2 linked regions of the Caenorhabditis elegans genome follow. The protein of the gene in region 1 interacts with the protein of each later gene in a biochemical or structural test. Each region holds a gene or a part of one and is shown in the gene's direction. Other genes may lie near its edges. The genes, in order: rfp-1 and ubc-1.

Region 1 (3,926 bases):
AGAGTGAAACGAGAGGAGAGACACACTCACAACATTCATTCGTTTGGCGGGAAAAGAGACGAGGGAAGACTTTAGTATTGGGTGGTAGAAAGAGTTGGAGAAAGAAATTCGAAGGGATACAAGGAATGTATTGGCATCGTGAAGAGACACAGAGATACATCCGTGGTTCCCTGTGTTCTCTTCATTTTGTATAATGTTTTATTCTCGGTCAGAGGGACAACGGACGGCCTCTTCAAACACTCACAGAACATTCGCTCACTGCGCTCACTAGTAGAGAATAAAGGAAGTTACGAGAGAATGAAACTTCGAAGATAAATCAATTTTATTTTTTAAAATCAATGTTCGTAAACTTCGAATTAAGTGAAACCGTAATTTGAGATATATGAGTTTTGTTTGATCATCACAGCTACCATTTTCTCGGTCCATAGCCACATTGAGACAATGGATCTGATTCTGGTGGTTGATGATATAGTGGTGCATATCCTGCTGCTGCAGATGGATCATAGTGATTTGATGAAGCAGATGATGAGGCATGTACAGAAGTTACGGGACGTGACGGCGTTAGATAAGCAGTGTGATTTGGAGGCTGAAAATGTAATGCAATATTTTAAAACACGTTTTACAAGATAATTTATTTAAACTTTATAAAACTTACTAGTTGCACGAGGTTTTGTTGTTCCTGCTCTTTTATCTTATGTTCCGCTATTTTAACGGACTCCTTCAATACAGCACGTCGGGTGAACATCAGAACATCCTGAAAAATGTTTCATAACGCGTTATAATACGAGGTTGCAATCAAGTCCTGATGACTACGCCTGATATTGTTTGTTGAAGAATTAGTCGCATCTTTTTTTGAAAGCATTCTATATTCTCACCCTGATGTATATTGACTTGGTTAGAAGAACATCAACAGATCTGGAGTCTGCGAAAGTTATAATGCAGAAGTGAAGCGGCCCTTCTGAATCCTGCAACAATAAAAATTAACATGAAATAAACATACAAATAATTAAAAACTTACACTGACAAATTCTACATCTGTGATTTTTCCGTAGGCTCCAAAATTCATTTTCAGTTCTTTTGAAGTTAATCTGTCTAGTGGAAAATAAGAAACAAAAAGTCGTTTTGATTCTACTTTCAACTTCTTATCATTTTCATCTTTTGCTGGCTCAACAGTGCATTTGGCTCGATCGATTTCATGAATATCTGATTTCATGCAATTTGAATATCCGTTCGAATCAACGAAAGTGATGTAGGCGTAGCCTGCGCTAGTCTTTCTCGGCTCTTTGATAAATGCTTCACCTTCTCCAATTTTTTCTGGAACTCGGCATTTTTACTTTTTTCAAAAGCTTTCGAACTTACGTACTCATGTAACTCTCAAAATCGCCGTGTTTTTCAACATCGTATCGTTCGACATCGAGCTCGTCATCTAATACATCATCATTTTCCACAGGCTCATATCGAATCGATGATCGTGTTGAAATTTTCTCCTCGTCTGGTCCATTGTCGAATACCTATAAAATGAAAATAATGACATTTTCTATCAGAACAAGAGTTTCTGTACCGAATATCTAGGAGGAGGAGGTAGAATGCACTCGTATAAAGTTCCAAATTGTTCAAAATATTTTTTAACTGTCGATTCCGTTGTATAGCTATCCAATCCTTGCACAAAAATCCTTTTTACCATTGTTATTTGGACGAAAGACCGAAATTTGAGGAGAAAAAAACGAATTAAGAATTCGAAAGTCCCGCAAGTCTCGTAAATGCTGTTCGGTCGTAAATCTACCCCATTTCCGTCTCTTGACCGTAGTCACACACTCTCTCACTCAGGTCTCGCAACGAAAAGAGTGCCATTTGAAATGTCTCTTTGGAAATCTTTTTGTAATCACCTTTTTTGCACTCCAAAAACAATAAAATTGTCATCAAATCTGTTCAAAAACATTGATTAAGTATCCGTTAATATGTTTAAAATCTTTTCCTTGTTTTCCCTGCTTTCTACCATCTCTTTAACATTTTGTATACAATATTAGAAACGTATTGATTTCAGGTATGATGAAAAGAAGTAATGAAGGTATAGGAGGAGAAAATTATGCAAGTAGCCCGAGTGACGATGGACAACAAAAACGACGCAAAATTCAATTCGAACCGGTCCGAATGCCCGCTGTTAGCAACGTGGTATGTCTTTCATTTAAAATCGAGGATACTATTAATAATCCCTAACGATTTCAGAACGATATAAGAGCTCGTGCCGTAGTTTATCAGACATCTAAATTAAAGCAGCAATTGTTGTACAAAAATAAGCGAATAGCCGAATTGGAAAAAGAAAATGAACGGTCCAAGAGGCGGCAGCAGACAGACGAAAGCAACTTTCTGAAGGTTTATAATATGTTCTCAGATGTACGTTTTTACTTATTTTCAGATTGCAATTAGTTATTTTCTTTTTCAGATTGAGAAATACATATGTACACAAACTAAGAATGAGTTTGGAGAATACATCGGAGGAGACACTGCACCAACTGGTATAGACGTTCTTGGAATGACTAATGAAACATATAACAAGTTCTTTGATCAGGCAAAGCAGAATTTGTGAGTTTTAAATTATTAAAATTCACTCTTAATTTACATATTTCTATAGACGGAATGCATTCGTATCGTATGCTAAAGCGCGCCACGATCGGGCTCACGAATCCACCATTTTCATCGATAAACTAAAAACATTGATCGATTCTCCTACCTTCAATCCAAATGGTGTCCATAAGGAGCTTACAGCCAAAGCAGCAAGTTTAGCTATACAAAATGAAAAGCTTCAATCCGAAGTTACCAAAGTTCAAAGCGATTGTTACAATTTGGAACGGAAAAAGCGTATTCTAACGGATAAGCTTTCTGTACAAGAGAACAGAGTTCAAGAATTAGAACATCAATTGGAAGATGCCCGATTTGAAACTGACAAACATATGCGTCTTGCTAACAAATTTGAGTACAAACTAGCCACCCTCGTCTCGGAGGGACAGTCTGGAGGGAACGGAGGGGCGACACCGTCTTCGTCGGGTACAACAAATGCTACTGAGAAGAAGATATCAGCTCCAGATATTCCACCAAGTGAAACAGCTGCAAAAGAAGTGAGATTTAAAAATTTTTTATCAATCGAAATGAATAACGCATTTTTAAAAAATAATTTCAGATCGAAAATCTGCGTCTTGAACGAGATGAACAGGAATCCATTGCATCACGACGCCTTCAAGATCTCGAGGAGATGAATAAAAAAGTTCAAACATTAACACAGGAAAATAGCAAGCTAAGACTAGAGGTACCGTTTTGACTATATATTAATTTTTATCCATTACAAAAATATGAAATTTTTACCCGAATTTCTTCTATTACCTCTGAAATAGTTGCAGACACAAACTTTCTTCTCTGTGGATTCAATTGTCAACTCGGAGGAATACAAGAATCTTAAAAAGTACTACTCATTAGCAATTAAAGAATACGAGCGAGTCAGCAAAGATCTTGAAGATATCACAACAGAACGTGATGCTTTCCGCAGTGCAAAGGAAGCTCGTGCAATGCTAATGTCTGAAGAACATCAGAAGACGCTGAAGGAAATTCAATGTCAATCGGATATTCACAATTCTTTCTACAAAGTATCTCATGACAGTGAAGTTCTACGCTGCGAATTCGAAACTGTTAAGGAAGAATATAATAAGACGGTGAAGCAAAGCGAGTGGGATGAAATGAAAGCAACTTTGAATACTCTACGATCTATGAATAGATCGTTAAAATCAGAGAAAATTCGTTTGCGCGAAAAGGATAAGCAATCTCAAAAAGATATCAACACTCTCAAGTCTGAGTTAACTTCACTGAAAGAAGCCCAGGATAAATGTCTACTTGTTCCTCTTGAAGACGTTAGTAATGCTCCACCGGAAGATGTT
Region 2 (3,926 bases), on another chromosome or scaffold:
ATTTGCTCAAAATTTTGCCACTATGCCCGCCAGAAGTCGCTGAGCAACTTCATAATCGAGATTTGGCAGTAATATCGTATTCCTACAGAAATGCTCCGCATCCGACGTTTGTGAGTGGAGGAAATCTGGAAAATTTGCGAAATTTCGAAGGATAAGTAGAAAAAACACTGAAAAATTGACCCAAATTCTGCAATTTTCAAGATTTTCCATGAAAAAATGTCTTCAAATTGAGAAAATTTGTGTTTTTCCATAAAAAAAACCGCGAAATTTCAATTTTACATCAAAAATCGAAAAAATTATCCAAATTCTGCTCAGAAAAGCCAATTTTCGAAGCTTTTCCATCAAAAAACTGTAAAAATTTGCAGATTGAGCAACCGGATAGGCAGAAGCTTCCAGATGGTCAACGTGTTGGTGAAGAAGTTGAATTGTTAGTTTTTTTTTTTTTTTGAAAATTTGAATTTTCAGGAAAAATGTGGATTTTTTGAGGTTAAAATTCTGAAAATTAAAATTCCGAAAAAAAAACTTCGGAAAAGTTCAGAAAAATTAATTAAAAAGAAAAAAATCCGGAAAAAATGTCTAAAATTTTTGAAAAATGAATTTACACAAAAATCTGAAAAAAAAATCACTTTAAAGAAATTTTTAATGCCAAAAAGTTTCAGAAAAATATCAAAAATTAAAACAAAATCTGTAAATTATTTAAGAAGTAATGAGTTTTCCAAAAAATTAAGAAAATAGTTTTTTTTTCTGAAATATTTAAATTAATTTTTAGGGATTTTTCAAAAATCTCAAATTTTCTATAAAATCCATAAAAATTCCCAAAAACTTCTCTCTAAGAAATCTATCAATTTCAAAATTTTTCAGAGTTTCCGGAGATGTGATGTTCGACGATGATATTAGTCCAGAAATGCGAGAAATGGTTGAAAATATGGAAAGAAAAAAGAAAATTAATTCGGAAAGATTAATGGAATTACTACAAAGAATACATCGAATTGATCAAATTTGTAAAAAAGTACGGATTTTTTTAGTCGAAATTGATTTTTTTATAGCTGATAATTAAGTAAATCAGAATTTTTACCTTAAAATCGTGAAAAAAATTGAGCCTAAGTTGAATATTTTGTACTGAAAAATTGGAAAATTTCGGCTTTAAATTTGAATTTTTCTGAAAAATATTATAAAATTTGCATTTTTCCAGAAAAATTGGACTTTTTTACTCAAAATTTTGATTTTTTGAAAGTTTTCAGTTAATCATTTCGAATTTTCCGGAAAACCTAAAATTCCAGTTTAAACTCAAAATTTTCACCGAAAACTTCAAATTTTTCAAATTTACCAAAAAATTGACATTTTCAGTGAGAAAATTGAAATTCCAAAAAAAAAAAAAAGATAAAAATCAAAAATTCACCGAAAATTTGAATTTTACTGAGAATTTCACGTTTTTTTGTAAAATTTTAAATTTTTGGAAAATTGATTTTTTTTTAGAAATTTTTAAATTAAAATTTAGAAATTTCCACTAAAAAAATCAAATTTCATTAAAAATTCATTAAAATTTTTTTTTTCACTAAAAAAGTTCGATTTGAACCAAAATTTTCTAATTTTCAGTTAGAAAATCGAATTTCAATGAAAAATTCCAAAAAATTCAAATTTTCAAAGAAAAATTTGACATTTTTGGCAATTTTCCAGCATTTTCATTTAACATAAACTGAATTTTTTACGAAACATTTTCGAAAGTTTCCAATTTTTACGGAAATTATATTCCAAATTTGCACTAAAATACGAATTTTTTTGGGAAATTCCAATTTTCTACCTAATTTTTCGATTTTTGCAGGAAGCTTGGCTGGAATCGTCGGCAGAAGTTCAACAACTCACACAAATTGCTCAACTTTTGCATTATTGTCAATAAATGTTAAAAAATATTTTCTTTAATTTTTTGATTTTTTAAAGGTTGCCGTACCTTTTTTCATACTTGTTCTAGCATTTTTCTGCATTTTTTCGAATTTTTAACCTAATTTTCACATTTTTTGCAGGAGTTAGGTTATCAATATGACGACGCCCAGCCGTAGACGTTTGATGAGAGATTTTAAGAAACTTCAGGTGAGTTTTGAAATTTTTGGCCCGAAAATTTGGCTTTCTTTGAACATTAGAGAACATTTGCAACAAAAATTGGTTTTTTCCAGAAAAAATTAGATATTTTTGGGATTTTTGATAAATTTCTCGTGAAATTTTTAAAATTAAAATTGCCAAAAAATCGCCGAAAATATCCATAAAAACGGCCGAAAATGTCCAAAAAATCGCCGAAAATTTCCAAAAAAAAATCGCCGAGAATTTTCCAAAAAAATTGCCGAATTTTCCAAAAATTCGTCGAAATTCTCCGAAAAATCGCCTAAAATTTCAAAAATATCGCTTAAAATTACCAAAAAATCATCGAAAGTTTCCAAAAAACGGTCGAAAAGCACAAAAAAAATGCCCAAAATTTCCGAAAAATCGTCGAAAATATCCAAAAGATTGCTCAAAATTACCAAAAAAAAAAAAAAAATTACCAAAAAAAATCGTCGAAATTACTGAAAAATCGCTCAAAATTTCCAAAAAATCATCGAAAGTTCCCAAAAAATCGCCAAAATTATCAAAAAATCGCCTCCAAAAAAATTGCCGAATTTTCCAAAAATTCGTCGAAATTCTCCGAAAAATCGCCTAAAATTTCAAAAATATCGCTCAAAATTACCAAAAAATCATCGAAAGTTTCCAAAAAACGGCCGAAAAACACAAAAAAATTGCCCAAAATTTCCGAAAAATCGTCGAAAATTACCAAAAAATCGTCGAAATTACCAAAAAAAAAATCACTTAAAATTACCAAAAAACGGCTCAAAATCATTAAAAGATTGCTCAAAATTTCCAAAAAAAATCGCTCAAAATTCCTAAAAAACTGAAAATTTTCCAAAAGAAAGGTTTCTTTTAATTTCCAAAAAAAATCGCTCTAAATCCCCAAAAAAACGACCAAATCTTTCAGGAAGATCCACCAGCAGGAGTATCAGGTGCACCAACAGAAGATAATATTCTCACATGGGAAGCAATAATTTTTGGACCACAAGAAACCCCGTTTGAAGATGGAACATTCAAATTATCACTGGAATTTACTGAAGAATATCCAAATAAACCGCCAACCGTCAAATTTATTTCCAAAATGTTCCATCCAAATGTGTATGCGGACGGATCAATTTGTCTGGATATTCTACAGAATCGATGGTCTCCGACGTATGATGTTGCCGCAATTCTGACATCGATTCAGTCGTTGCTCGACGAGCCCAATCCAAATTCACCGGCCAACTCACTTGCCGCACAGCTTTATCAAGAAAATCGACGGGAATATGAGAAACGTGTTCAGCAGATTGTTGAGCAGGTACACAACCCTGAATTTTGGATGAAAATCGGCGAAATTAGAGCTCAAATATTGAAAATTTGGCAGTTTTTGACCCGAAATCGAGAAATTTCACCCCAAAAATTGAAATTTGGCTGAAAATCGATAACATTTAAGTTGAAATACGAAAATTCTTAAATTTTCATCTAATGTATGCAAAATTTGGCTTTTTGTGGTTCAAAATCGTAAAATTTTACCCTAAATGTGGAAATTTAGCTGAAAATCGATGAAAATTGAGTTAAAATTAAAAAATTTTGGAATTTTTATGCCAAAACTGAAATTTTGAGAAAAATTAAACGTTTGGCTGAAATTCGGCTGAAAATAGGCGAAATTTTTTGCGAAATATGAAAAATCTGAATTTTTATGCCAAAATTGAGATTTTTTTTGCGAAAAATTGCTGAATTTTGGCTGAAAATGGCTGACATTTCAAGCAAAAATAATTTTTTTTTTTTTGAATTTTGCAAAAAAGAACCGAAATTTGAGGCTAAAAATTAAAAATTAGAAATTTTTGGCTTAG

The links.
Region 2: the proteins of rfp-1 (region 1) and ubc-1 form a complex in vitro, tested with the Caenorhabditis elegans proteins (one study listed by BioGRID).

The regions. Positions count from the first base shown.
Region 1 is NC_003281.10:8,356,581-8,360,506, forward strand, and holds the start of rfp-1 (E3 ubiquitin-protein ligase bre-1), read left to right. Parts: upstream 1-2,041; 5' UTR 2,042-2,046; coding exon 2,047-2,172; intron 2,173-2,226; coding exon 2,227-2,394; intron 2,395-2,443; coding exon 2,444-2,583; intron 2,584-2,632; coding exon 2,633-3,116; intron 3,117-3,178; coding exon 3,179-3,304; intron 3,305-3,395; coding exon 3,396-3,926. Other genes in the region: Putative RNA-binding protein R05D3.8, read right to left, coding at 407-586, 656-754, 876-965, 1,019-1,314, 1,364-1,511, 1,562-1,684. UniProt on the Caenorhabditis elegans protein: E3 ubiquitin-protein ligase that mediates monoubiquitination of 'Lys-117' of histone H2B. H2B 'Lys-117' ubiquitination gives a specific tag for epigenetic transcriptional activation and is also prerequisite for histone H3 'Lys-4' and 'Lys-79' methylation.
Region 2 is NC_003282.8:4,100,999-4,104,924, forward strand, and holds the start of ubc-1 (Ubiquitin-conjugating enzyme E2 1), read left to right. Parts: upstream 1-2,021; 5' UTR 2,022-2,037; coding exon 2,038-2,088; intron 2,089-3,001; coding exon 3,002-3,391; intron 3,392-3,926. Other genes in the region: C35B1.2 (SWIM-type domain-containing protein), read left to right, coding at 1-110, 366-427, 862-1,009, 1,823-1,897. UniProt on the Caenorhabditis elegans protein: Catalyzes the covalent attachment of ubiquitin to other proteins.